Elephas maximus indicus: one gene and its partners. Each later gene encodes a partner of the first gene's protein in a complex. Links are inferred from orthologs where the notes say so. Each region holds a gene or a part of one and is shown in the gene's direction. Other genes may lie near its edges. The genes, in order: CCNC, MED24, MED7 and CDK8.

Evidence for each region.
Region 2: CCNC (region 1) and MED24 share a complex: the UniProt entries of both Homo sapiens proteins name them as parts of the mediator complex. The link is inferred for Elephas maximus indicus from reciprocal best matches to the Homo sapiens genes CCNC and MED24.
Region 3: CCNC (region 1) and MED7 share a complex: the UniProt entries of both Homo sapiens proteins name them as parts of the mediator complex. The link is inferred for Elephas maximus indicus from reciprocal best matches to the Homo sapiens genes CCNC and MED7.
Region 4: the proteins of CCNC (region 1) and CDK8 are in contact, whole or in part, in a crystal structure (PDB 5CEI), measured with the Homo sapiens proteins. The link is inferred for Elephas maximus indicus from reciprocal best matches to the Homo sapiens genes CCNC and CDK8. Residues at the interface, in NP_005181.2 of Homo sapiens: Met1, Ala2, Gly3, Asn4, Ser8, Ser9, His10, Gln13, Phe72, Tyr76, Lys79, Ser80, Ile81, Asp82, Leu85, Leu93, Lys96, Val97, Glu98, Glu99, Phe100, Gly101, Val102, Tyr130, His134, Leu136, Glu137, Glu139, Phe140, Tyr141; in NP_001251.1 of Homo sapiens: Met1, Asp2, Tyr3, Asp4, Phe5, Lys6, Leu9, Arg13, Gly58, Ile59, Ser60, Met61, Cys64, Arg65, Ile67, Ala68, Leu69, Arg71, Glu72, Leu73, Val84, Leu86, Ser87, His88, Arg91, Lys92, Val93, Asn145, Trp146, Val147.

What each region holds. Positions count from the first base shown.
Region 1 is NC_064819.1:164,409,148-164,416,938, reverse strand, and holds the start of CCNC (cyclin-C), read left to right. Parts: upstream 1-4,777; 5' UTR 4,778-5,052; coding exon 5,053-5,084; intron 5,085-7,791. UniProt on the Homo sapiens protein: Component of the Mediator complex, a coactivator involved in regulated gene transcription of nearly all RNA polymerase II-dependent genes.
Region 2 is NC_064837.1:47,307,368-47,315,034, reverse strand, and holds the start of MED24 (mediator of RNA polymerase II transcription subunit 24), read left to right. Parts: upstream 1-4,666; 5' UTR 4,667-5,240; coding exon 5,241-5,493; intron 5,494-5,622; coding exon of another isoform or gene 5,623-5,675; exon of another isoform or gene 5,676-5,975; intron 5,976-7,667. Other genes in the region: THRA (thyroid hormone receptor alpha), read right to left, coding at 138-285, 2,353-2,453, 3,083-3,150, 5,623-5,675. UniProt on the Homo sapiens protein: Component of the Mediator complex, a coactivator involved in the regulated transcription of nearly all RNA polymerase II-dependent genes.
Region 3 is NC_064820.1:173,622,957-173,630,658, reverse strand, and holds the start of MED7 (mediator of RNA polymerase II transcription subunit 7), read left to right. Parts: upstream 1-4,702; 5' UTR 4,703-4,788; intron 4,789-7,702. UniProt on the Homo sapiens protein: Component of the Mediator complex, a coactivator involved in the regulated transcription of nearly all RNA polymerase II-dependent genes.
Region 4 is NC_064841.1:58,014,663-58,021,623, forward strand, and holds the start of CDK8 (cyclin-dependent kinase 8), read left to right. Parts: upstream 1-3,954; 5' UTR 3,955-4,644; coding exon 4,645-4,772; intron 4,773-6,961.

The sequences.
Region 1 (7,791 bases):
TGAACAGAAGAAGTTTTGAACAAGAGAATATATAAAAAGCATAAGTATGCTTACTGATTTCTAGTCACTTACAAATAAGTTTAATGCTTGAGAAATGGAGCAAATAAAATCAATGCAATTTGGTGTCATAGAAATGTCTAGTTGAGCATCTCAGTAACACTAGTAGTAATTTTTGGGTCTTCCAGAGCAAGTAGGATTTCAAATACAGTTTGTCAGAGAGGCCAGAATTTATACCAGATGGGCCATTTCCCTCTTTCCTGGAACACCCTGTGCTTATAGCCTCACATGTTCTTTGTTGTACTCCTTCTTCTTTCTCCTTATATGCCAATTAAGATGTTCTTGGCTGCGGGTAACACAAATGCCAACTCAAAGTTGTTTAAACAATAAAGGGATGTATAATTTCACCCAACAAAAAATCTACAGGCAGGTGCTCCAGGATTGATTAATTCAGTGGCTGCACAATGTTGTCACCAAGAATCAAATTTTGCCCTGTCTTCCAGTTCTATCATACTCAGTCTGACTGTCTTGTCCTCCTGGTCATAAGATATGTGCACACCATAGTTATCACAAACAGCAGAGGTTCTCTAGCACTATTGACATTTTAGGTCAGTAATTCTTTGTAGTAGGAGACTGTTCTGTACATTATAGGATTTTTAACAGCATTTCTGGCCTCTACTTGCTACTTGCCAGTAGCACTACCCCAAATGTAACAAGCAAAAATATCCAGACATTGCTAAATGTCTCCCGGTGGGGGAGGGTAAAATCACCCTAGTTAATAACCACTGGCAAACAGACACATTAACAGTATAGTAGATGAGGGACTAATTTTTTTGTCAAAGGCTTTAGATATAAGACCAAGAAAGACCTTGTCTGAAGCTCTAAGCAGACTTCCCCTCTGTTGCATTGGCCAGACTTGCTACACGTTGTGATTGTTAAGGTTGTGTGTCAACTTGGCTGGACCATGATTCTCAGTGGTTTGGCAGTTATAACAGTCTGGCAGTTGTATAATAAATGTAATCACCTCCATGATGAGATCTGATATAACGTGATTGCCTCCATGATGGGATCTGTTGTGAGTAGCCAATCAGTTGAATGGGTGTTTCCTTGGGTGTGTGGCCTGCAACCAATATAGGTGGACTTTCTAGCAAGATTTGTGGGCTTTTGCTCCCTCTGGATCCTGCAGCTGGCTCCTGTTCATTGACACATAAAATTAACCATCACACTGTATTAAACTAAACAAGAGTTCATATTGCAATCTCTGACTTTATTACCACAGAATTCATTCTGGTCTTTGATTTTTTGTAACTTCTTTCTCTGGCAGTGAAAGACTTGGCTCCCATTATCTACCATCAATTTACTTTTTTTGTTCAACCCCACTATACATGTAAAGCAGGTTCAGAAAACAAATTTACAAACTACAATACAGTATTTATGTGCAGTTTTTTTTTTCTCTTTAGCTTCACAGTCTTTGATTAAAAACAATTTTAAATCAAATTGTTTATACAAAAGGAATCCCCCCTCCGAAAGACCCTGTACTATAGGGGAAGTCCTGTTCTCTTACTACCCTTAACTCACCCCTTTAGGGTTATCCATTTAATGACTTGATGCATATATTTCCACATTTTTCCCCTTGCTCATATACAAGCATATATTATGTGCATGTGTATGTCTGTGTCTGCATTTGTGTTCTATAGAAGACATTTGGTCTGAGGGTAGAGTATGGGAACTAGAATGTTTTAGAAGCAGGTAACTCTAAAATACAGCTAAGATTAAGGACTACTGCTCTAAGCCAATTGTGGTAGTTTTCATCAGGGCTACCTGTAGGTATGCGTGGCCCCGGACAATTTTTTTTTTTTTTGTGAGACATCTAACTATATAAAAAACAAGCAGATGAAAGAAATTAAGAAAATAATGATGTAGAGTAAGGATGACAGTTCATGATGTAGAGAAAAGCATACAAACGAATGTTACAACAATCAGAATCTACGAAGTAGACAGAAAATACACAGAATAGAGGGATAGCATAGGCCAGCTGGGAACAGGAAAACAGAGGAAACACACAGAGAAAAGTTGGCTTTGGTTCTTGACAGTTTTCTAATTACAATTCTCCTGTCAATCCATGAGTCTTTTCACAATGAACTATAAATTTCCAGAGGTAACTTTAGCAAGTCTCTATTACTTGCACCAAAAGAATTATAATATATAGTTATGAAATAAGTATGACTAAGAAGAAGGAAAGGAGTTGGCCAACGTGCCAGGGATAAAGAATACAATGGAAGAAGTTAGAAGTGTATTCAGTCCATAGCCAGGTGATAAAATCCATTCTGAGTTTCTGTTTGAAGAGAAAAGTGTATCAAGGTCAGATATCACCTGGAGAAGGCCACTGAGACAAGTGGACTTCCCCAGAACCACTCATTCAAGAAGACTCAGAAACCTGAGCTGCCAGCTTCCAAAAGAAAAAACCCAAACCCATTGCCATCGAATTTACTCTGACTCATAGTGACCCTAAAGGACAGAGTAGAACTGCCCCGTTGAGTTTCCAAGGAGCACCTGGTAGATCTGAACTGCCGACTTTCGGTTAGCAGCCATTGCCCTTAACCACTTCGCCACAAAGCGAAATTATCTCTAAGGTGTGGACGCACATTAGTCAAGCTCACAGAAACTCATATATCAAAAGTCCAATATCAATTTATTGATTTATAAGGATAATAACTACCAAATGGATCAGATCCTTTTGTTCACTCCTCAGAGTATTTTCTGTCTACAGGCAAATTCCTGTGGAAAGACAAATTATTATCGGAAGGTTGCTTGGTAAGCATGGAATTAGATCAATGGGAGTTAGTGCCTTCAAGCTATAACAACCTGATGCAACTCAATTCAACCTACACTTACCAAGTACCCTCAGATGTAATTTCCCCTGAAGCTAATACTTTCTAAGCTTTAGGCCCCTGTAAGTGATGGGAGCTGCTGGACAATTGGTTGTCTGAAAAGGGAAGGAGAGCAGGGTTGCAAACAGGAAGCATTTTTATGTAACATTCCTGAAAAATTGCCTAAAGAGTTTACAGCAGACAGGGACCTTGTTGTAGTTTCCTAGTGCTGCTGGAACACAAATACCATGACTGGATAGCTTTAAAGAAGAAAAATTTATTTTCTTGAGTTCTGGAGGCTAAAAATCCAAATTAGGGTCTCAGCCATGCAGATTCCTTCCTTGTAGCCCTGGGCATTACTTGTTTCTTGGTAATCCTCAGAGGCATCTGTCTTCCCCTGTCCTTGTTTCTGTGTTTAATCGGCTCTTTTTATAATTCAAAAGTGATTAGGTTCGGCTACAACAGATGACTGCCCTGACAGGGAACACAACAGAGAATCCCTGATGGAGCGGGAGAGCAGTGGGTTGCAGACCTCAAATTCTCGTAAAAAGACCAGACAGACTTATTGGTCTAACTAGACCAGAAGGACCCCGGAGGTCATGGTCCCCAGGCCTTCTGTTAGCCCAAGACTGGTACCATTTCCAAACCCAACTCTTCAGACAGGGCTTGGACCGGACTGTAAGATAGAAAATGATACTGGTGAGGAGTGAGCTTCTTGGCTCAAGTAGACACATGAGACTATGTGGGCAATTCCCGTCTGGAGGGGAGATGAGAAGGCAGAGGGGGACAGAAGCTGGCTGAATGGACACGGGGAATAAAGGGTGGAGAGGAGTGTGCTGTCTCATTAGGGGAAGAGCAAGTAGGAGTACATAGCAAGGTATATATAAGTTTTTGTATGAGAGACTGACTTGATTTGTATACTTTCACTTAAAGCACAATAAAAATTTTTTGGAAAAGTGATTAGGTTTAGGACGTTGATATGGCCTCATTAATATAACATTAGATTGCATTATGGAAAGTAATTATATTACATTATATCTACAGGTATAGGGATTAGGATTCCAACACATATTTTAGGGGGACACAAATCAATCCATAACAGACCTGAATCTCTAAGGCTTTACTTTTTGTTGTTTACCATCCAGTTGATTCTGACTTGATAGCGACTTATAGGACAGAGAAGAACTGACTTCATAGAGTTTCCTAGGCTGTAATCTGTAAGGGAGCAGATTGATAGCCCTTTTCTCCCTCAGAGCTGGGTGGGTTCAAACCACCGACCTTTCAAAACTTGTTATAATTTCTTTTTGTATTGTAAACATTTACTTTTTAAACCTAATTTTGCATTAATAATGTTATATTCTTTTTCTTGGAAACCCTGGTGGTGTATTGGTTAAGTGCTCCGGCTGCTAACCAAGAGATCGGCAGTTCAAATCTGCCAGGCGCTCCTTGGAAACTCTATAGGGCAGCTCTACTCTGTTCTGTAAGTTTGCTATGAGTCGGAATCGATTCGACGGCAACGGGTTTGGGTTTTTTTGGTTTTTACTATGTATATTCTCAACAACAAAATAATTTTTTTTTTAAAAAAAAAGGACATGTTAGGCTTGGTGCCAGTAGATGTCGGTAAGTCTGTGAGGCCAAAATAATTTTTCTTTTCAATAGCCGAAGAAATAAGATAAATCAAAAAACCTAATGGTCTATTACAATACCATTATGCTGTCTCAAAGGCCTTGAAGATGCAATAACAAAACCCAGTACTGCGATCCTCCCGTCAGGCTAACTCCACTAAACGTAGCCAGTTTTGATGACTGAACACCAAACCATCCAGCTCCAGGAGAAACAGGCGCGAAGCTCTCGCGAGACTCTACCAATACCCAGGAGCTCCCGTGAGCACCAGTTCCCGTCTCCTAACCTAGCGCGCTTACAGGCCGTCTCCTCCCCGCCGGCTTCTTCCGCTACCGCGGGGCGGGCCGGAACCTTTGTTAAAGGGAACGAGTTTACACAGCAGTGTTGCCGGCCGGCATCAAGGAGAACAGCGTGGCATCCTCTTCCTCTCGCCGTTGCGGCCGCGGAGCGGAGCTGAGCTGATTATAGTCGAGGAGCTCGGTTACCGGGCGGGCTGGGTCTATGGTCGCTCCGCGGGCCGCTCCGCCTGCTGGTGCTTTTTTATCAGGGCAAGCTGTGTTCCATGGCAGGGAACTTTTGGCAGAGCTCCCACTAGTAAGTGATCTCCCGTCTTCCGTCCAGGGCCGGCACTTAGGGGTCTGTAAGGACGGGGCCTGCAGCTCCCCTTGGCCTGCATCCTGGTCCCTGTCCCGAGCGCCTCGGGGTCCTCCCGGGAGTCGGCGGCGGCCGGCAGCCGGCAGCGGGATGCGCTGTTTTGAGATGACTCCCCTTTTCCTGCCCCCCTAGCCCGGTTTCGGGGAAGGATCTGTGACCCGGAGTGGTGGGGACAGGGCAGTCTCCGAGAAAGGGAGGTTGAGGAGTTTAATTTAGGATTGTTGGATTAGCTAGGCCCGGGATGGGGAGGGGGTTGGGTGATGGCTCCGGGTGTGGGAAGTGTGTCTCAGTTGTGGACTGTGAGGTGGGCTCCTCAGGATGGCTGTGGCTCGATTTTGCCTGGGATTACTTTAGAGGATCGGCACCTGGTCTTTTGTCATTCACCGTCTATCTTGAATGTATTTAATAATGTTCCGAGGAGGAGGGGGAACTCCGTGTTTCTTCTCACTAACCACTTCCTGCCACTACCTTATGCCCAGATGGAGTTTTATGTTGGTAGGTGATACAGCAGGTGCTTGCAAGACTTAGCCATTTCATTATTCTGTGCCTTGTATTTTGTTTTGTAAGTGTTTTCCAGTGATTTTGTTTGCTAGTTTACAATTTTTCGTAAATAAGTTTTTGTTTCTGTCAGTGATCGTGGAAGAGCTAGAGTTATATTAAAAACATTTTTCCCTAAGTGCATTTGTTTAAGCAGGCAAGAAGGTGGGTGATGGGGCTAATTAAACATTGACTAGACTTTTCACTGGAAAGTTGAAATAGGAACAGAACGTGATAAGACTGTACTTAGTGTAAGTAATTTTTAATGGTAAGAGTGTTTGTAACTAATTTCAACTTTGATTTTATGAATAGCATCGGTTCCTTTCTTTTGTTTTTTGGCCCTTTCCCGAAGAAAAAAGGAACAGTGGCCTTGGAAACCTATTTGCAGAAAAGCAGGTCTTCCTCTTTGCTCTAAAGTAATTCTATGGTGCTGAAATGCTCTAGAAGCTTTACAAATTATACCATTTTTATTTTGTATAGTTTTTTCACTCACTGAAATAGTTGCTTGGGCAAAGTTAAAATATAGAAGGCATAGGTAGTGGAGAAGAGTATTCTTATAAACTTGGAGAGAAGCTGAGAGAACTTCAGGGAAGCTGGCAGTTGGTCGTCAGAAGTTAATGCAGTTTTTTAGCTTTTAGAAAAGAGACCCTGTCCCCCTTTTGATGAGCATTCTCATTATGCTTTCACTTACTATTGGCATTATAGAAACAGTTGTTTTTTTCACTATTGAGATATAAAGTTATTACAACATTAAGTGTGCTTTTTTGGAATTGCCCCTGCCTGCCAATTCAAATAGTCCTGAAGGAAGGGGCCACTTTACCTCACTTAACTCCCTTGATTATCATGAAGTCCTTTTTCTGTAAAAGATAACAGGTATGAAATACAAGACAATCAATTCGTGAAAAAAACAAAAAGATTATGAAAGGACATTGCTTTAGGTACGTATCAGAGATTTTGATGAAAGAGGAAACGTCATGAAAAAGATTGTATTTCATGGCTTATAAGGTGCACATTTTCACATTTTAACTTCTCAGAAATTGGCATGGCAGTTTTTTTTTCTTAGTAACACATGAAATAATGATGAGTTTTACAGCCAGTGGAATCTTAAGTTTGATGAAATGTGGTATTTATAAGTCTTGGTTTATTCTCTATACAAAATGCTGGGAGGAAATTTTTTAAAAATATTTGTTTCTGAAATTTATCTTTTTAAAAAGATAAAATGACTCTGTGGAAATGAAATTAGTGTTAATTCCAGGACAGAGCAAGTCACAATATATTCCAGAAAATTGAAGTAGCACAAAACATTCTCTGATCACAATGTGGTAAAACCAGAAAGGCATTAAATAAATATTTTCAGGTTGGTTGAATGAATGAATGAGCACGTAACAAAAATAAAAACTACAAAACCAACTCTGGATGCTTTATTGTATCAAAGAGGAAACTGAAAATACAGTTACATAATATCTAGAAAATAATATAATGAGATCAATATATATCAGTATTTATGGAATGTAGCCATGCTGAACGTAAAAAAATTAAATTATTGAATGAGAAAGAATAAAAATAAATTTTTTAAAATTCTACCTAAGAATATTAAAAAGGAAACAGTGAAACAAACCTAAGGAAAATAGAAGGAAAGACTTAATAAAAGTAAAACTTTTATTAATGTAATAAAAGGGAAAAAATTGTCAGAAAATACAAGAGCTGGTTTTTTGGGAGGGAAAACCAAGACAATAGGCTGGATAAACTACTGCTGATTGAGACAAGGAAAAAAGGGATGATGTAAAAATATAAAATTAGGAATGAGAAAGGTAAATGAACCCAGATATACCTTTGGACTATCTGTATGGCATAAATTAGAAAGCAAATTAAGAGTTATCAGAACGACTTCGTAAAAATGCTCAAGGCCCACACATTATTTCCTGCATAAATTACCCTCAACTTTCAAGAGGATCATAGCTCTGCTATTGAAATTGTTCCATTTCACACAGAAAGGAGGAAATGCTTTCCAGTTCTTTTTATGAAGCCATTATAACACTGGTGATAAAATCTAGCAAAGGAAGCACTAAAAACCTGTCTCACTTTTGAATATTGATTCAAAGACCATAAA
Region 2 (7,667 bases), on another chromosome or scaffold:
GGACACTCTACCATCAGCTGGCCTGGACTAGAACTCTGCCTTATGGGCCCTAAGGGTACCCTGGAAGGGAGCTGCCATCCCTCACCCACCCCAACCCCCAGGCACCTGCCCCAACTCCCTCCCCTCAAGCCCCTTACAGTCCATGGCCATGCCCACAGCGATGCACTTCTTGAAGCGGCACAGCTGGCACTGATTGCGGGTGATCTTGTCAATGACACAGCAGCTGTCATACTTGCAGGAGTAGGTGGGATGGAGGTTCTTCTGGATTGTGCGGCGAAAGAAGCCCTGGAGCAGGGGAAGACGAGCATGTTGTGATCCTAACCTCCCCTTCCTGAATCAACCATACAGTTCACAGGGGATGGCAGGGGGCGAGATTAGTGAGGGGACCTGGGGTCCTCTTGACACAGCTAGCCCAGGATCACTGGGCTCTGCCAGGGCAAGGGACCTTAGAAACGAGTGCCCTCGCCCCAAGCACCTGGGCAGTGGTGATGGCAGGGCCAAGAATGATGACTGCAGTAGGGAGACTCGGATCTGGGGATAGTGTGTGGTGCCAGGAGGTCTGAAGGAATAGGAGCTTAGGAAGTCCAATTAATACTTTACTTTCCAACTTGCTAAATGACCCTAAAAACAACAGTGACCACAAAATCATTTTCCTGTATGTTGTCAGTTTCCCATGTAGGCGGAATTCGTGAAATAGAGAGACCAAAAAAATTAAGAAAAGACATTTCGGTACATGCTCTAGTAGCTTTAAAAGAAAAATTTCACCAATTATATATACCAGGTTTAGCCCTTTCTTCAAAGGAAAACCCTCAAGAACCAAGATGGTAGTAGTAATGCAAATAGCCAATATTTACTGAATGCTTACTATGTGTCAAGCACTGTAAGCATTTTTATGTGACATGCCATTTAACTATGACGTAGAACTCTTATTGTTCCATTTATAGGCTGGAGACTTAGTGGTGCAGTGCTTAAGCTTGGCTGCTAACTGAAAGGTCAGTGGTTCAAACCCACCAGCCACTCCATGGGAGAAAGATATGGCAGTCTGCTTCCATAAAGATTACAGCTTTGGAAACCCTATGTGGTAGAGTTCTACTCTTTCCTATAGGGCACTATGAGTTAGAATCTATTTGAATTGACTGAACAGCGATGGGCTTGGTTTTTGGTTTCATAGGCTAAGAAACTGAAGCTTAGAGAGATAAAGCAACTTGCCCAATGTCACATGACTAACGGGCAGAAGAGCGAGAGCTGGGCCTCAGATATGGAACAGCAAGGTCTGAGCTCTCAGATTCTGAGATGCACTAAAATCACTTAAGGCAATTACCAAAAATGCAGACTTCTAGGCCCCACTCCAGACCTGCTAAATCAGACTCTCTAGGAGTAGGGCCAAGGCATCTGTCTTTTCAAGATGTTCCCTGGGGATTTAATATCCTTGAGCATGAGGACCCTTGCTCTACACTACACTGCTTGTATTGGTTCCAGGGACACAGCCATGGGACAGTAAATCCTGGTGGTCTTGGTGTAGTTGACACTGAATAATTCTGTTTCCTGGAAGGGCCCACCTTTTCAGGAGGTGGTGATCTGGGAAAAGCCATGCAGGCTGAAATTACCAACAGAAAATCTAATTATGCCTCCCCAAGTCTATGACCTTGTCCGCTCTACACAGGGAGAACCTGCCATCCTCTTCTCCTCTGTGCCCCCACCATGACCCCCAGCAGAGGCTCTCACCTCTTTGGGTATATCAGAAGCAACTGGGGAGCCCATTACAAGGCAGATTCCTGGGCACCACGACAAGAGGCTCTGATTACAGTTGGGATGGGGCCTGGGAATCTGCATTTTATCTAGCATTGTAGGCGGTCCATGAGCCTCATTTTGAAAAACACTGATATTTGTTTCCAGTCTGTCTCTCTCTGACTTGAGGACAGGACATACTCTCCATCCTCACATTTAATACAAGGCCAGGAGCACTGAACGGTTGGGCAATAGTTGGCATTTATTGGGGTGTTTCTTACACGCCTGGCACTGTTTTAAACACTTTATGTGAACTATCCTATTTCATTCTTAACACCTCTATGAGGTAGGCAGAATGATTATTCCAATTTTATAGGTGAAGAAACTGAGGCTCAGAGAGGTTAAGCAAATTACCTGTGAGTGGCAGAGCAGGGATTATGTATGAATGAACAAACAAAAGAATGAATGAATGAATGAGTGCAAAAAGAGAAATGATGGTATTACAGGTGGGCTTGAGGTTACATGTTTATAGAGCTTTTCTATCATGCCAGGTACTGAGGGCCTCAAAGGGAGTGAGATAGGGGCTCAGGCGGTAGGGGAGGGGAGGAGCCGGCTGGTCCATACCTTGCAGCCCTCACAAGTGATGCAGCGGTAGTGATAACCGGTTGCCTTGTCCCCACACACGACACACTGCTCGTCTTTGTCCAGGTAACTAGGGATATACCCTGGGAGGGAGGGAGGGAGGGAGGCAAGCAGGCATGGCTTGGGGTCCCAGCAGATAGGTTCCTGTACTTTCCCCATCCCCCAACTTTTCCTTTCTGGCCATGCCCTCACCCAGCCTCCCTGAAGGGTTGTCTGCAAGGAGAATCCTGGGAACACATCACAGGTCATCATATCTAATCCCTGGCTGACATGAGTTGGAATCAACTTGATGGCAACTGATTTTTTTGTTTTGTTTTTTTAATGAATATGAAGAATCCCAGTCCTTCTGGCTGCCCACTCTGGGCTTTTGCTGCCTTGCTTTCCAAGGGGTAGGGGATGGGGGGGTGGGAGGCAGAAGCAAATATCAGCACTTCTCTCAGGAGAATGCAGTCCCATGGCTCTTCTCTCCAGGCCCTGATTCTGCTGAGGGACTCAGCATGGGGGTTATGGGAGAAGGGAAGAGGCCCTTCCTGACCTAATTCATCCTCAAAGCCTGGTTCATGCGCCACATCAGCCCTCCTACCCCTGGACAAGTCTATCCCAAGCCCTCTGAGAGGATCCCCCCACAGAAGCTGCTGGTGCGTGTCAGACCCCAGGAGAGGCCAGCGCTGGCTGGGGAGCAGGGAGGAAGGGCACACTCAACCAAGCTCACCTGACATGCTGGTTTTCAGGGAACATTGGCCGTTCTTTCTTTTTCGCTTTCCATCTGGTGACCTGGCACTGGATGGGGACAAAGTGGGTGGAATCACAGAGTAGTCCTTGGGAAACCCCTTTCTCATCTGAGAGGCTTATACAACCCCCCAGGCCCAACTCCCTCCATCTGTATCCTCATTCTACCCCCACCCTCAGGTCAGCTGACAAAGCTAAGAAAGGTCCTGCTATCTGGACACTGCAGGGGACAGAGATAAGGGGCTTGGCTGGGGCACAAGCATGTTCTAGGGCCCCAACACACACACACACACACACACACACACACTGCAGAACATTAAGCACTCTGCTGTATAATCTAAAGGACATCCACATACTTCAACCTTCAGTACATGACACAGACGCTGGAGGTGTCCCCAGGACATGCTTAAAGCTACGCAAGCTTTAGAACATGCACACACACATACATGCAACATAACACAAGCACATACAAATAACTATGCAGCCTTCAGTATAAATCCAAGTATGATAAATAGGCACCAGGATCTATCTACATCTATGCAATTTCTAGGGCATTCTCAAATGAGTTATATGACTTCTAGGGTATAGTCATGTGATACACAACCTTCTGGACAGGCACCTAACAATACCACCCCCTCTCCTCCCACTGTGAACATGTTGTTTGATTTTCCAGTCATGCATAGGTACTAAATAATCCACAGTGATTGAAAACATACAGTGCCTAGCTCCCAGCACCTAGAACCAAGAATGAAAGACCAGGAAAGTCCTTCCAGAATCACGCTGTCCATGGCTTCCATTTAACAGAGCAGCAAACCAAAGTCCCACTTGGGCCTGGTGACACCGCATGCTAGAGACAGAGCCAGGACAAGGACCCTGAGCCCCTGCGCTCCAAGTATTAGCAACCCTCCTCCACTGCACATATATGTCACCCTGGTGCTCCATATACATGTTACATAACCCCCCCCAACAGGTTACATAAGCCCTTCTACATGCATGCACGGATTGTATAACCTCCCACACCCACCCTGGCATGTAGCATAGTCAGGACTCCTCCTCCTGGAGCCCAAAACAGCTCCCAACACACTGACACAGTGACCTTGGCCAGGGTCACAATCACAGACAGCCCTGTGCTCCCCACCCCCTGGGGATTACCCCTGTCTGGTTCTGACAAGGCTGGAGGGTCAGGATCTCCTTCTGGTCTACTGGGTGGGGGTGTGTGCGGGAGGAACTCCGGGCCACCTAGGCTCCAGTAGAGCTGGCCTCTTCAGAGATTACCTACCTGGAAGCCTTTGGGTGCAGTCCCAGGGACAGCCACAAGGTGGCGCAGAGACATGGGGGAGGGGACAAAGACGAGAGGGAGGCGGGGGAGGGAGGGGCTGCAACCCTAGGGGGACCGGGAAAGGGCATTCCCGCCTTTCTCCAACCCTTTGGGACAGACTCTCTCAGACCTACAGAAGCCTGGGCAGGGAGGTACAGGAACTACAAGTCGGAGCCGCACTAGGACAGGCCAGATCTTCCTTCTCAGAGTCTCGCCTAGGGTGAGGTTTTGGGGTAGGGGTTCCCTGGGGGGCCCACCAAACTGCAAGCCCCACCCACTTCCTCCACCCCTCCAGGGACCCAGTCTTGGGCCCCAGGGCTTTGCCTGGCCAGGCCTCAGGCCTCCTGGCTCAGGATCTGGTCTCCTAGGCAACAGCCACACTGCTCCCCAGAGCACCCCTCCTCCATCCTCTCTCCGGCCATAGGCACAAGCTGTACCCAGCTTCTGGGGCACTATGCCAACTGGGACAGAACTCTGTGCCACTTGGTGCTGATGGCAGAGACCCTCTGGGCTCCTCAAGGACAATGCAGAGCACAGGTAACCCATCCCTACTTGTGTGTGCTGGGCGGATGCCTCCCCATGTGTGGGGTAAACCTTCACGTGTGGGGTAGTGTGGGGTAAACCTTCACGGTTGGCCTGCGCTTTCCTTCCTGGGAGGAGCTTCATGGTAGCACCCGCCCTTCCCCATAAACAAGGAATAGTTTGTGGGGCTCCCAATAGGTTCCAATACAAACGCGAGCTGTGACCAGTAGTAACTGGTGCATGTGCCCTGAAATGTCATGCTACATGCACCAGGGCCTGTGGACAACACACTTGTGGTCAGATGGTGAATGGGCTGGTAGGGGGAGGAGGAAGGTGGCAAGGCCTTTTGGATACCTCATGCTCAGGTGAGGGCAGCAGTAGCAGAGGAGACACTGGGGGGCATTTGAGACTGTCCAGCATGGTCAAGGGTAGAGCCATATGCTTGCTGCCTGAATACTCTGCTCCGTATCATAGGCGTATGATATGGGCATCTCTGAACCCAGGTGCCTACTTCCCTGCCACATCTAAACGTGACCTCATCTCCTGGGGAAAAGGTAGGTAGGCAGCAGGCTTGCTGGCCTCAAGCCCGTTCCCAAGAGGTGCTTAAAAGGCCTGAGCTCAGTTCTTGTCAGGGAGGCCTTATGCCCAGCCAAGTGACCATGCCCACTGCCTGGGCCTATTACCTGTTCTCCTCTGGGTCTGACCCACACTCCAGCTTGCTTGGCTTCTGTTCCATTCACTTCAATTCCATCCAGGATGCACTCCAGCACGCCAAGAGACTGGGGTGGGCACACAGGCCCCCCCGGCACACCCACAGGCCACCCACCCCCCACCACCCAAGCCCTAGGGCACAGCACCCATGGTGCCTGCCTCAGCACTTGGCCTTCACACCATGCCCTGCGCCCCAAGGGGGGCGGGCAGTGAGAGGGGCCAGGGAGTGGCAGGTGGGAGGGCTAGGGGGTGAGCTGGATTTGTAGGGGTGTCCTGGGCTGGGGTTTGGGGAGTAGGCTCAGTGTCTTGTCCTGTCCTGAAGTCCCTGCAGAGAAAAGAAAGAGAAAGGGTAAGAAGGTTCCATGGTGGGGGGGATTCCTCTGGTGGTAGCAATTTGGGTTCTTGAGGTCCACAACAGGATGATGAAGCACGTGGTGGGCAGGCACAGGTAACCTAGTTATGCTTCCCCAGGGAAGGAACAGGGTAATCTCTTAGATTAGCCAACAAGATTGTAGACTTATATCCTAAACTCCAGAGATGGAGAGGGATGGAGGAAAGGAATGAGGTAATTTGTGTACCGTGTACCACATCTCAATCCTCACATTCTATCAAGTGCCAGGCCCTTAATAAGTATCTATAAACGTCAGCTACTATTACCACCCCTCTAGCTGTTTCCCTAAAACTCATCAGTATTATAGGGGCAAAAGGGGATCAGGGATGAGCAGTTTTCAGCCTAGGCCCTGGGAGAACCAGTAAAGGAAGGGTGGGGTATGAGGACAACGTTCAGGGACCATAGATGCCCATCTTAGTGTCTCAAGGAGAGAGATACTAACAGTGGTGGGGAGCTGACCACACCTGCTGCTGATCAAGTTATGACTCCTCAACCCTGGCCCCCCAGGGACCCCACGGCTTCCCATACAAGGTCCTAGGTCACACTTCCCAGTCTGAGGACCAGACTTCCCAGTCAGTTTAGCTGAGCTGCCACCTACCAGGATGGTGAGGGGAAGGGGAAAGGGAACACGCATTGACTGAGCAGATAATACGTGCCCTCTGAAGTGGGCATCAGAACTTTCCTGATGAGGAAACTGAGTATCAGAAAACTTGATCATTTACTTAAGTTCACATAGCTATAAGCAGGTGGCTCAAGGATTAAACTTAGTGGCCTGGCTCTAATGCTAGCTTTGTTCCACTACCTGGAGTCCAGGGCAGTGCTAGTCTGGGCCCACTATTCCATCTACACAGCACCTCTCAACCCAGGCTGCAGATCTGGGGCTTACTGTGTGTGTACACACAGGCAGGTGTGGGTGTAGGACGGGGACAAAGGGTGCAACTCCCCACACACAACCTCTATCATGTGGCCACTGCACCAGAGATCTCACCCCTGGGCCCCCCCCCAACCCGACCCCCAGGAACTGATAAGGAGCCAGGGTGGGAGGAGAAGGGAGATAAGTCAGGATACTAGGCAGGGCAGGACAACAGGACAGGGCCTCTGCATCCAGGCAAGCCCCCGTGTGGGGAGGAGTGCAGAAGGAAGGCCCATTCTGCCTCTGATACCCCCCCAGGCCAGAACTGGGCACTGGGGGCTGGATAGGAGACTGGGGGAGGGGGGCAAGCGGGGAGCCTTAGCCCAGGGAGCCGTCAAGAAAGTAGGTCAAGTTTTTCTTGGCTTGTGGAGAAATTCCTGTTATAAATTTATAATGGCGTAGCCAGCCCTGAGGGGTGGAGGTGGGTGGGGATGCCCAGGGGCTGGGCACTGGGGCCTGCTGTTCTCAGCCAGCACAGTGAGGGGCAGGGGGCTTGGTAGTCATGGGGGCTGGGCTGGACAAGAGAAGGCTATTTTCTCTCTGTCGCCTAGTCCCACTTCTATCCCTGCCTATCCAGGCCTCATTCGCTGCACAGTCTGTCTCCCTCTGAATGTGTCTCTCTCTCTGGGTCTGGGTGTCTCCCTGTCTCCCCCCAGGCTGTGCCTCGGTGCTTGGCACACCCTGGCTGCGGTGCTGCCCCCGCCTGTCTCCTG
Region 3 (7,702 bases), on another chromosome or scaffold:
TGAACTGTTGTATGCTTTGCTGTGTATATTCTCAACAACAACAACATAATACATTCACCCCACCCCCAGTGCCGTCAGGGGGAAAAAAAACCTATGTAGTATTGTCTTAATTTCTGGTGCTGCTATAACAGAAATACCACAAGTGGATGGCTTTAACAAAGAGAAATTTATTCTCTCACAGTTTAGGAGGCTAGAAGTCCAAATTCAGTGTGCCAGCTCCAGGGGAAGGCTTTCTTTGTCTGTAGACTCTGGGAGAAGGTCCTTGTCATCAATCTCTCCCAGTTGAGGAGCTTCTCAGCACAGGGACCCACATTCAAAGGACGTGCTTTCTCCTGGCTCTTGTTTCTTGGTGGTATGAGGTCCCCGTGTCTCTCTGCTCACTTCTCACATTTGTATCTCAAAAGAGATGGACTTAAGACAAAATCTAATCTTGTATATTGAGTCCTGGCTCATTAATGTAACTGCCTCTAATCCTGCCTCATTAACATCATAGAGGTAAGATCTACAACACATAGGAAAATCACATCAAATGACAAAATGGTGTACAATCACACAATCCTGGGAATCATGGCCTAGCCAAGCTGACACTCATTTTGGGGCCACACAATTTAATCTGTAACAGGTACAGTTCAACTCTGACACCCATGAGGTCATCATGAGTCAGAATCAACTAGACAGCAACTGATTTATACCTGTGAATACAATTTAATATAATCATTTTCCATAATGTAATATAATGTAGTTAATCAATCCTTTGAGAACACAGTGTAGGGCATATCCTAAATCTAATCACTTCTGAGTTACAAAAGGAGCAGGTTAGACACAGATGCACACACAGAGGAAGACAGATGCCACGTGAGGATCGACTTCAAGCCAAGAAACCAAGAAATCGGTAGCCAGAGCTACCGATAAGGAATTGACATGGCCAAGACCCTGATTTGGACCGTTAGCCTCCAGAACTGTGAGAAAATAAATTTGTTTTCAAAGCAAAAAAAAAAAAAAAAGAGATACGATTATATATTTGTTATTTAATAAATATTCATGGAGCACTTGCTAATTCAGAAACTTTTCTAGGTGCTGAGAATGCAACAGTGGATAAAATAGACAAAAGCCCTATCCTCATGAACCCTGCATTTTGATGGAAAAGACAAAAAATAAAAAATATACTCAATGATTCCGATGATGACAAGTGCTATGAAGGAAGGATAACAGAATAAGGAGACAGAGAATGACTGGGGGTGTGTTATTTTATTCAGAGTGGCCAGGGAAATGCTCTCTGAGAAAGGTCACAATTGACCAGAGACCTGAACAAAGTGAGAGAGTGAGGCATTAGATGTCTGTGCAGAGTTCTAGGCAAACCAATGGCTCTGAGGTGGAAGTGTGCTTAGTGATTTTACAGGGAAAAATTAGTAAGGCCAGTGTCGCTGAAGAAGGGTGAACACTGAGAAAAATGGTGGGAAATAATACCTGAAAGAGAGCCAAGAAGTAAATTTTGAAGGGCCTCGTAGGCCATGGTGACTCCGTTGAATTTTATTCTAAATGAGATGGGAAGCCATTAAGAATTTTAGTAGAGAAGTGATAAAAATCTATCCTTTAAGACAGAATAGTAAATAGATTGTTGTTGTGAGCTGTCAAGTTGATTCCGATTCATAGTGACCCTATACGACAAAGTAGAACTGCCCCATACAGTTTCCTAGGCCGTAATCTTTATGTGAGCAAGTCGCCAAATCTTTTCTCCCATGGACTGGTAGGGTGGGTTCGAACCGAAGACCCCTTGGTTAGCAGCCCAGTGCTTAACCACTGCACCACCATGGCTCCTTAGTAAACAGAGTAAGAGGGGGGAAAAGTTAAATTGAGGAGACCAGTTAGGAAGCTATTTCAGAAGTCCAGGTGAGAGATAAATGTGGTGTGGGATATGATCATAGCAGTGGGATGGAGCAAACTAGTCAAATTTGGGACTTTATTAAAAAAAGAACACAAAATGCCAGTAGTTTGGATGTGGAATATGGAAGAAGCTGGAGTAAAGGATGACTTCTCATGTTTGAGCCTTTGCAATTGAGTGAATAGTTGTTGTTATGTGCCGTAAATTAGACTCCAACTCATAGTGACGTTCTGTAAAATGGAACTATATGTTGCCTGGTCCTGTGCCACCTTCACAATCGTTGCTATATTTGAGCCTATCCTTGCAGCCACTGTGTCAATCCATCTCACTGAGGGTCTTCCTCTTTTCACTGACCCTCTACTTTACCAAGCATGATGTACTTTCTCCAGGGATTGGTCCCTCCTCATGAAGTATCAAAAGTAAGCACTACAAAGTCTCACCATCCTCGCCTCTAAGGAGCGTTCTGGCTGTACTTCTTCCATGACAGATTTATTCATTCTTCGGCCAGTCCATGGTATATTCAATATTCTTCACCAACATCATAATTCAAATGTATCAATTCTTCAGTCATCATTTTTTACACTCCAGCTTTCTAAAGTGATTGAAAATACTATGGCTTGGGTCAGGTGCACCTTAGTCCTCAAGGTGACATCTTTACTTTCAAAGATTTTAAAGAGGTCTCCTGCAGCAGATTTAACCAATACGGTACATCGTTTGATTTCTTGACTGCTTCTTCCATGGATATTATTGTGGATCCAAGGAAAATGAAATCCTTGACAACCTCAATCTTTTCTCCCTTTATCATGATGTTGCTTACTGGTCCAGTTGTGAGGATTTTTGTTTTCTTTAGGTTAAGGTGTAATCCATACTGAAGGCTGTAGTCTTTGATCTTCATCCATAAGTGCTTTAAGTCCTCTTCCCTTTCAGCAAGCAAGATTGTGTCATCTGCTTACTGCAGCTTATTAATGAGTCTTCCTCCAATCCTGATGCCGGCAACCTTCTTCATAGAGTCCAGCTTCTCAAATTATTTGCTCAGCATACAGACTGAAAAAGTATGATGAAAGGATACAATCCTGATGCACAACTTTTCCAATTTTAAACCATACGGTATCCCCTTGTTCTATTTGAACAACTGCCTCTTGATCTGCGGAGAGGTTTCACATCAGCGTTCTGAAATTCCTATTCTTCACAATGTTATCCATAATTTGTTACAACCTACACAGTTGAATGCCTTCGCGTAGTCAATAAAGCACTGGTATACATCTTTCTAATATTCTTTACTTTCAGCTAAGATTCATCTGACATTAGCAATGATATCCCTCGTTTTACATCCTCTTTTGAATCTAGCTTGACTTTCTGGCAGTAAAGAGGTCTAATAATGTTGGTACGGGGGTCTAAAGCTCAGAGGTGAGGGTGTTGCCAGGGCCTGGATAATATCTGACCGAGAAGTATCTGAAGAACTGAATTCCAGAATAATCTAAATGACCAAATTGTGTCAAATGCTGCTAAGAGGAGTAGTAAAACGAGAACTGAGAATGGCCATTGAAGGTCATTAGTGTAGGTCACTGGTGACCTTGACAAGAACAATGTCAAGGGAAATGAGAAGAGCTTATTTGGGGTATGTTCAGAAATTATGGGTTATCTCAACAAATAAACTGAGATGAGGGAAAACTGAGATGGAGAAGGAACCTATAGATTAGAAGGAAATTAAAAGACACAGTCAATTACAAAAGGTGGACCTTATTTGGATCCTGAGATACTTGAAATTTGTATACTGGCCTCATATTTGATATTAAAGATTTATTGTTAGTTTATTCTTAAATGAGATAATGATACTGGTTATGTTAAGGAAATGAGTGTATATTTTTTGAAAATGCATGCTGAAATACAGATGAAATTACGGCTAGTAGTTATTCAGGGTAGTGCTGAGCATACAGAAATTGATTACACTATTCTCTCTGCTATTGTGTATATTAGAAATTCTTCACAGTAAGTTAAAAAAAAAGCAATGAATCTTATTTTTGAGGAGGTAAAACTGCTGCAAACTTTTATCAGAATGAATATTAATCTTATTTTTCACAAAAACATGCTGATTTTCATAAAAGCTACCCATTTGTTCTGCTCTGTTAAAATTCATCTCTACTTGTATTATTTGGTCCACAGCTCTTTCAAGACTCCCACAAATTTAGAAATTTGTGCCACTTCTTACAAAAATAACCTCTATAAGAAACCTTTAAGTCTGAGTCTTTTTTTTTTTTAACTTGGTAATTTGTTGCCTGGAAATATTAAATAGACCCTTCTGAATTCCTAAATGAAAATAAAAGTCAATGGATGATGAAGAATGAAGATTCACAACATGTAACTCCCAAGCATGTTAACAAATATACCCTTATTTAAAAGAATTATAAGTACCATATAGAGTCCAATATCATTTTTAGTCATTTTTTACGTTATATATATTAATACGTATTTATTTATATTTTATATATTTACACTATTTTGACGTGGGTTTAGAGTTTTGTTGATATAATTTTTTTAAAAATTTTACCTGTATTTTCTAGTTTTTATACAAACCATATGGATGCTTTGTTTAACTGTCTTAAGCACTTTAAAAAAATTAAAAGAAAAAAAGGAACGGAGCCATGAGCCTCTCTTTTTTATGACTGAAAATACACAGACCAGCAAGCTCACCTCCAACCCCTCCTAGCGGCTGTGCCTACTACGTGAGGCCGCGCAGGCGCAATAGCGACCTAGTGATCTGAGGCGGGACTAGAGTCTCGGGAAAAGACAGTCTTTTCCGCCAATCAGAGGACAGCGCCTAGGAGCTTCTTCCTGGGGAAGGAGAACGGAAATCGGATTTTGGTGGCAGTGGCTAAGGCGGCTACCGGTGTAAGCCCAGAGCTGAGGTTAGTGGATGGCGACGGCTTGGGGCTCCGGTCTGCGTGCGTTTCTTCTTCCGGACCCTACTCCTATTTCAGAGCTGGGCTGGGGTTGGGGGAGGCCTGGGGAGGCGCGCCGTCCGAGGGTGGCCCTCCTTTTTCTCCCCTTCCTTCGGAGAGCTCGGCCTCCCGACCCCCTGAGTGGACACCCGGCCGCAGGGTGCTGCCTGCGCAGCTGACTCGAGGCTTCGTCCGGGTGGGGAGACCGAGCCGCACTGAGGTTGAGAGCTTGGGTTCTAGGCCCCGCGCCGCCGGTTTTTTAAATTGTGTTGCCATGGGCGAATTATTTCTTCCCTCTGGCCCTTTGTCAAATGGAAAGAACCATCTCTGTCCTTCCCACATCAGGGAGCTAATAGAGGTCAGGGGGGCGATAGATCTCAAGGTTAATCGTCAGACTCGCCTGGAGAGGTTTTAAAAACGACTTTTCAGAGGCACTCTATAGACAAGCTGAATCAAATTCCTGGGGTGGGGGGGCCTGGAATACTTTTTTTTTTTAAGTCCCCAGAACGGAACAAACACTAAGAAGGTGGATGTTGAGTATGAACACCGGCTATGATGCGTGGCGCTGGTTTTACTAAAATGAGTAAAACACCATCATCAAAAAGCTCCATCTAAGAGGAAATGGAGAAATGAACACAATTTCTGTAATATATCAAGTCTCAGTGGTACAGTTAGAAGCTTCATAGCTTTGCTAATGAAGAGCTCTGCAACTAAAAGAATCTGGGATAAGAATAAGAATCCCCGCTCTGCCATTTACTAATGTTTGATCTGAGGCAAGTACTTTCCCACATTGAGCCCTGGGATCTTCATCATAGAATTATGAAAATTAAGTAAGGATATAAACAATGGTACCTGTCACGTAGTTGGCCTTTGGAAAATGGCGACTTAAATAGAGGAATGCTAATGGTGCTGGGGAATACATACAGGACAGGACTCCCAACCGAAAAAAGGTTTGTGTGGGGTGAAACCTGGGATGTCCAAAATGTTATTTTGAAGTACCGTATGGATGGTGATTTCCCTAGTTTGATCATTATGCTGTGGTTATAAAAGAACATTCTGGTTTTTGGGATACACACTGAAGTACTTTATGGGTAAAGGATGAGTAGCCGCTAAAGCAAATGAGGAGAATGTTAAAATTTGGGAAATCAGGATGAAGAATATGAGTTCTGAATTTGTTAAAATAAAGTTTTAAAAAGTTGATTTAACTGTTTGCAACTAAGTGTGTTGTAAATAATTGAAACAATATTTATAAATGCCCCCCCCAACCACACACATACTCACCCATTTTTTCTAAATGGCTGTAGAGTATTAGACATTGTATTTTATCCAGTCCTCATATTGATGAAGGCATAGGTTATTTTCAAATTTTCCTACTCTTCAAACAGTGCTATGTTAAACATCCTTGTACATGTTTTTGTGTACTTGTACCAGTATTTTTATAGGATAAATTTCTAGAAATGGGATTGTTGGTTTAAAGAATATCAGCATGTAAAATTTGGATATTGCCATTTTAAATTCCAAATACCTACTAGGTTCCTTTCCCATCAGCTGTGCCTGAAAATTCCCCGTATTCTCTTGGGTGGTATTGGCTTACCACTTAGGGGAGTCATGCAGTGGTAGTGATGATGGCTGCTTCCGTGAGAGCTGCAGTGAGTGGGTGCCCTCCACCTGAGAAGGCATACCTGCTGGGCCAGAATAGCTAAGGGACTGCTTCTAAAGTTGGGTGACCACTCTGAAGAAACTGAGAGTGTGACCTCTGCTGGAGCCTGCTATGTAGGAAGTGTTCAGACATTTGCTGAATGATGGGATATTTGAGATCTTTATAGTCCATTAAATGAAAAATAGCATTTTAAGTTTTGTTCTGAAAAATGTATGTCTGAACATTTTCCCACCTTTATTTGGCATTTTTCTCCTTCTCATCCTTTGTCTATTATTATTTTTTAGCATAGATTTTAAAAAACTCATTCAGTGGCTATTTTGATGATCAGGCATTTCCTAGGCACTGTTTGAGGTGCTGAGATAGAATTGTGAACAAGACAGGCAGAATTCCTGATACTATGGTGCTTTCCTTCTAGTGGGGATGGAGTCTGAAAATAAGTTTTAAAACATCAAAATAAAATGTTTAGTATTTACTGTTATGTATTGCAAACATTTTTCTCCCAGTTACTATCTTTTAAAAATTTGCTTACGATATATTTTCCTATGTGGAATTTTTAGTTTTGTTTTCTACTAAGATTGCAAGCAATACTAAGATGGAGGCAGTGTCTAGAAAAATGGTATAGTGTAGTATTTAAGAGTTTTAGGCTCTGGATCCTTACTCTGCTACTTGCTCAGTGACATTAGGCAAGTAGCTTAACTTTTCTGAGCCAGTTATCTCATTTCTAAAACTGAGGCAATAAGAGTACCTTTTGCAGATTTCTCACAACTATGAGAAAAATATTTAGAACAGTGTCTGGCATATAGTGTACGCTAAAATATTAGCTATCATTGTAATCATGTTGCCTGTATACTCATTTCATACAGAAAAATATTTGAGAAATGCGTACTCATTAAGGATGTTTGAGCCTACTCTCAAATTCCCATTGATTGGAGCCCTCTTGAAATGGATGGAGCTGCTCAAATATTTATAAAGGTCCTACCTGCAAGGCTGTGGACGTAATGAGAACTATGATTATCACAATCCTTCCCCTCCTGGAGTTTACAGTCTGATGGGAGAGAAAAACAGGATACTAGTACAGAGAATAAAAGAAGACCTACTGTTGATCTCGCTGTTTTGTGAAAAGGTGATAGTTTAAGCTAATGCCTGAAGCCAGCCCCATGCTAGGATCAGGCAGAAAAACATTCCAAGCAGAAAGAATAGCAAGTGGAAAGGCCAAAGGCA
Region 4 (6,961 bases), on another chromosome or scaffold:
TTCAAAGCATTCAGTTTACTCAGGAAATTTCTTTGCTTTTGTGCTAACTGCTTTGCAGTTGTGCTAACCTCTCCTGTATTGTGTGTTGTCAAGAATGCCCTTTTACATTAATATATCATAAAGCAGTAAGTCTGTTTTTTTTTCTTTTTTCATCTAATCACTGAGCAGCAAGCTCTTTTGCATGCTGCAGAAGGTTTACCTTGAGAGGCAAGACTGAGGTAAGATGTTAAATGTTTTAAAATGACTGCCTACACCATTTATTATTAATCTTAAGATTCATTTCAACCTTTAGAGAAATCAATTAAATTAAACACCTTCTTATTAATTATAATTATGCAAGATATGTGCTGGGCACTGTAAGAGATAATTATTTTGTGACCCTGGTCAGAATGGTCAGTGGTGGTAGCTGGGCACCATCTAGATCTTCTGGTCTCAGGGTAGGTGAGGCCACGGCTCATGTTGACTATTAGCCTTGTAGTCTTATTTCTTCTCTGAGTCTCTATTTCCCTCTTTCCCTTTTGCTCTGGATGAGTAGAGACCAATAGTTGTATCTTAGATGGCCGCTTGCAAGCTTTTAAGACCCCAGATGCTACTCACTTCACTAGGATAAAGAACATGAACTTTGTGAACTATATTACATCAATTGACTGAGTTGAAAGATTTTTTTTAAGTGCATAAAATAAATAACTGAAGTATAAGATAATTGTGATGCTTCTAGATAAGTTACAAATAAAGTGTGATGGGGCTGGAACTGGGGGAGCGGTTCATGGGAAAGAAAGATCACATCTAGTTGCAGGGATCAGGAAAGTCTTCATGATAAAAGTTAAGCATTTGAGCTGTTCCCTGGTGGACTGCAAAGGTCTGAGACGATATGAGGAAGGGCATTCCAACCTTGGAGAATAGGACAGACAAAGGCATATCTGGCTTGAATATTAAGGACAATGTTAGGTAATGAAGGCCTGGGCTCATGGGTTTGGCAAACAGCAGAATGACTGTCTACTGGTACTGCTAATCACAGGAACTGAGAGATTCAGGGAATAGTATAGTATGTTCACTTGCAGAAATTTTAAGTTTGAGATGACAGCAGAATTTCCCCTTAGGCTGTATGGGAGGCAACTGAACTGTGGGGCTGGTGCTTGGGAGGCATGATAACACTGGAGATGTTCAATTTGGAATGTAAATAAAATCATATTTTAAGAAAAGAAGCACGAAAATTATTAGGCCATTGTTTGGAGTGTAGGCCAACGAAGCCATAGATTCTACAACATCAGTGGAGGTCATCATGGAGCAAATGGACATGTGAACTCAGTATGATCAGAGTTAGGAAATCAAACTGAAATCACAGCTCCATGTTCCTGATATGTTCAATTCATTCAAATAACAATAAAGTCTGAACTTCCATCCCTTGAACTACAGGAAGTGCATGCTAAAACCAGATTCCACTCTTCCAGTATCTGGAATGCTTACACATTCCATTAGTCCTTCCTGGCTCATTGCTTTGGCTCTGCAGGCTGTTGCTGCCCCTTCTCCTCCAAGTACAGACACAAGCCCCACAGCAAAGACCAGGCTGATAGCTTGGGTATAACAGAAGGGAATTACCATGAAGAAAAAAAAAAAAAAAAACCAATATGAGCTGTTACCACTTCTAACACATTGGCCCTGCTCCCCTGTAAGGGGCCCCCTAGTGGCAATCTTCCTTAGCTCCGCATCCTGATGCTGCCTTAAGGGGCCGGCTTACCTCATGTCACCATATTCTCCCACCCTGAAGTCCAGACTCCTAACTCTCACCCTAGCTTCAGAGAGAATAGCGGGCCCTTCTCTTTTCCCTGGGTGATGTGAATGGTTAGCGCACTTGGCTTCTAACTGAAAGGTTGGCCGTTTGAGTCCAACCTCAGGTGCCTCAGAAACCAAAGGCCTAGCAATCTACTTCTGAAAAATCAGCCACTGAAAGCCCTATGGAACACAGTTCAACTCTAACACACATGGGGTCACCATGAGTCAGAATCGACTCCACAGCAATCGGTTGGTTCTCTTCCCTAGTGCAAGGCCAGCTTCCGTTCCTGTCTCAGAGAACTGATAATCAGAACACTCAGTTACTTCAGGGAGAATTCTTACCTTCATCCACAGGATGGATAGGTACAAAATAGTACTCAAAAGTACATTTTAAAAGTCTGGGATCTTCAGTGCTCAGGAATATCATGTGTAGGTGGTGGGATGGGGGTGGGGCACCCAAGTATGGGGCCAAGCCCACTGCCATGCCTCTGCACCACCTTTCCTCCAATGTGGTGGGTTGGTTTCTCAAAATCTATGAGTGAATACTTGGACAAAAAGACACATCCCTCAAAAAACACAAAATAAATTTTCAGGAAGAGTCTAGTCTAAATTCATACTTAGGGAAAAGAATTAATTCTCCATGCAAAGGCACAGTCCTGCTAGAGAGTCACCCAAATTACATTACCGATCAAATGCATGTAATATCTCATTAACGGAAGCTTACATTTGCTGTGCATTTATTCTAAGTTGGGCCTTTTATATCTCCATTTTGCAAAGACACAAACTGAGGCTCAGAGTTAGTCCAAGGATACACTGCTAATCAATGGCAAGCAGGATTCAAACTCAGAGTCATCTAACCTGAGTCAGGGTACTTAAACACTAAATTATGTTTAATGGCTAAAGTAAAAACAACTTAAACCAATGGTGAGGTCATGATTTCCTCTGAGGAAATTTATATAAGACAAGGGTTCCTTTGAGGATTTTCACAAAATTGCATCATCATCATCTGTACACAGATATTTTTGACATAAACATGTTCATTCACTCATTAAGTCAACAAATGTTTACAGTGCACCATAGTCAAGGTATGATGCTAGGTGTTATGGAAGAGAAAAATATGACCCTCTACAAGAATTTATAATCTAGCAAGGGAGAGGGAATACAAGACAAAACAGAATTTGATGAGTACCACAGGACAGGTGGAAAAAATAAAGTGTTATGGGGGTTTAAAAGTGGGAGTGATCATATCGTTTGGACAGTGGTGAGCATTAGTGGAAATGGTAACAAATGGAAGCAAACAAACAAAAAAAGAATGTGCAAATGAGAGGGATAAGGCAATTTGAGGGATTATTGTCAAGATATTAGGGCTCCTCCAGGAGACACCTTTTCTACCTAAACATTATCAACAAATTAGTTTCCATTGATTTAGCTCCATGACTGTAATCTTATGGCTAAAACATCGGTGGTTCTACACGAAGGCCATACTCAACGTAACCTTCCTTCTGAATAGACCGGAACCATTCGCATGGGCAACTACCGCAAGAGTAACAGTATTTGGGTGTCGCATCACACTCCTCACTGATTGACTTTCCTCGAAGTCTGTAACATGTGTCACTTATGCGAATAGTACTGTGCAGACCTTACGGGAGAGTGACCGTCAAGTAGCACAAAATGTGATTCTAATACAAACTAGCCTCCCTGACACGTGAACTTCCTTGGCCAAGTTTATAGCCCAAATTAGACTCTAAGGATATTTAAAAAATAAAAAGTGCGCCGTAAAAAATAATAAAACATAATAAAAAGCGTTCCCTAAATAACTGAAAAGGAGCCCTGGTGGTGCACTGTTTAAGTGCTTGGCTACTAACTCAAAGTTTGGTGGTTCAAACCCACACAGCTGTTCTGCGGGAGAAAGATCTGGCGATCTGCTTCCATAAAGATTACAGTCTAGAAAACCCTATGGGACAATTCTACCCTGTCACATGCGGTCGCTAGGACTCGGGAACCACTGGACAGCACCCAACAACATGAATTAAAACTTCTCTCACCACGAACTACCGATCCCATCATTCACCACGCCCTCACATTGCCCCTGCGTGGGGCGGGGTCCTGGAAGGGGCGGTGACGGTGGCGCCGTGCGTTCTGGGCATTGTAGTCTGGGGCTCAGGCCAGCGCTCAGGACGGCCCACGTGCTGTGCTTGGCCGCCGCTCCGGCCAGTTGCTCCCTCGCTCTCTCCCCCTGTCACCGGGCGTCGGGCGCCGGGAGGGGCGGCGGGCCGCAGCTGGAGCGGGTGGTGGGAGGGCTCGAGGCAGCCTGAGCCTTCGCGACGTTTTTGCGACAACCGGGCCGTGTTCCGCAAGTCCCCTCCCTCCTCTTCTCTCTGAGGAGGTACCGGCTGTTGTACGGCCGCCGCTTTTCTGTGTGAGTGTATGGAGAGTGAGTGAGTGAGTGAGTGTGCGTGTGCGTGTGCGAGCGGGTGCGAAGAGTGAGTGCGTGTGTGCCAGGAGGAGAGGAGCGCCCGCCGCGGCAGCCCCGCGCTCCCTCCGCAGCCGGAGAAGAGGGAGACCGGCGCCCGGGGAGCCGCGGGGACGAGGGCAGCGACACCGCTCCCCACCCCTCCCCCAGCCTCGTCCCTCCGCTCTCCTCCGGCGGGGAGGCCTCCCCGTCCCCACCTTGCCCCGCTGTCCCCCTGGATGTCCCCGGGGCTGTCGCGGGGCCTCCTGCTGCTCCTGCGGCATCCGTCGGGCCGGTGCTGCCGCTGCCAGGTGTAGAGCGGGTGGGCTCCCGGGGGCTGCGGCTGCCCGTGCCTCCCCGTTCCCCACCGCTGCCACCCGGCCCCCCGGCCCCGCTCCCCGGCCTCCGAGGCTGTGACAATGGACTATGACTTTAAAGTGAAGCTGAGCAGCGAGCGGGAGCGGGTCGAGGACCTGTTTGAATACGAGGGCTGCAAAGTTGGCCGAGGCACTTATGGTCACGTCTACAAAGCCAAGAGGAAAGACGGGTGAGTGTGTGTGCGTGTCGCCCCAGGCCGAGGCGAGGAGCGCGAGGGCGGCCGCCGGTGCCGGCTCCCACTTCCTCGACCCCGCGTCGTCTGCTCCAGCCAGGTCGGGAGGAAGTGCTGTGCGAGGGATCTGCGGCCGCCAGAGACCCTGCGTGCTCCTCTGGGTGGCAGGGGCTGACCGGGAAGAACAGCCGTCGTCCGTGGGCTGTGTACTTTTCAGGGGCATCAGTGCGGGTTTTTTTTTTTTTTTTTAGTATTCGTTATGAAACGTCAGTTGAAATGATTTTTGGGGGGGGGGGTCGGTTTATTATGATAACCTTCTGAGGATTTCCTCACCCGCCTCTAGAGTGACATCCGTCACTCTGGAAGGAACGCAGTGGTCCTTTCCCTCATCGGTTTCATAATGGATTTATTACCACATTTAGATTTTATTGAGGGCAGAAAAGGCAGCAAGTGAATGTGGCTGTCAGGAGCTCCTCATAGTGATCATGTGCTCCATGAATGTAGGAATCCCTCTTTGGGTATCATTAACTGAGTTTGTACACGGAACAATGGGGGTTTGGTGCAGGGTGGGTGGTGGGGAAAGGCAAGTGACAAATAGGGGGTATGGTGTTAAGGCTGTTCGCCCAAAATTTAGCAGCTGGCATTGAACTTTAAGCAGTCCCTTTGCTTTAGACATTCTTCTCTAGAAGTAATTAAATCTATGACTGGTAATGTTTCTATTTAGTTTTAAAACGGGCAAGTGAAGTGTTCATTTTTCCTTTGTCAGTAGATGAATGTCTTGTAATATTGACAAAAGAGAAGACAGTATTTAGGTTGGGGAGAAAATATACTGGATTAACTCTTTGCTTTCCTTTTGCAAAAATGGATGTCGTTTCTGTTGCCTTTAACATGATAGAAATTTACGGGAAGATAAAATCAAAGCTTTGGATTTTATTAGAAGCAAAAGTAGCTTTACTGTTAGTTTGGTTAGCTGCTATTTACCATTTAAAATAATTGCTTTTTTTTATTTCAAATTAGTAGGGTATGTTCAGAACTATTTAGCACCAAAAAAGAAAAAAAAGAGTAACCATTCATAAAGCTGAAATAAGTTACCTTGGATAGGGGGAAAAGGCCATATTTGTACATACTTTAGTATTCTGAATATTAGAAAGGAAATGTATGTTCAGCTTTTTTTTTTTTTTAAGATTTACTTAGTTACCTTTCTAAAATAATTTAAGACGGACCCTAGGAAGAAAATGGTAATACTAATTAATTTGAAATGTGTATTTCAGTGCCTTTATGCAGCAGTAAAGCAGTACAGCTATCTCTGTTAAAGGTAGGAATTTGAAAACTTGATACTCCAGGTGCCACATGTATTTAAAAGTACTTTTTAGGGGAATGGATGGTCTGGTGACATTTGAGAAATCAGCTTCTGGAGATACTGCTGTGTCTTGTTGTCTAATTAGATTTCTCAGTAAGGTACTACTCTGTAATGACATATATTTTTAAATTATGCTTCCCATATAATATTTTTCAAAAGCTTTAAACCATCTCTTCATCCCCCAGTATTATGTAATTTTAAGCATATTCATAAAATCCCTAATCCCATGAGATTAGGCATTGTAGTACATTTGACCAGTCTGTCATCTGCTTGATAAAATTCTGATGACCTTTAATTATTTTTAAGCTCTCTGAAAGAAGCCAGTTTTGTTTTCATAAATTACCAATTTATGGTAATAAATATGCATATTTGTATTAACTTTGATTTTATATTTTATTGAAAAACTAGTATTGAGGTACTTTTAAGCACATTTTATATCTCATGATCAGAGTTTAATTTAGGTTTTAATAATTTGAGGAGAATTACACAATGGAAACCCTGGTGGTGTAGTGGTTAAGTGCTACGGCTGCTAACCAAAGGGTTGGCAGTTCGAATCCACCAGGCGCTCCTTGGAAACTCTATGGGCAGTCCTACTCTGTCCTATAGGGTTGCCATGAGTCGGAATTGACTTGACGGCACTGGGTTTTCACTGGGTACACAATTTAAACATAGCTCAATGTATAGTGTATAAACATTTCTTTGTCATTTCTGATAGCCAGAAAGTAGCTTGTGTTTTGGAAAAATTAATTTTTCATTCGCAGTCCTTTGGGCATGTTTTTAGCAACTTTAATGATTTTGTTTGTATGATGAACTTTTCTTTTAATGG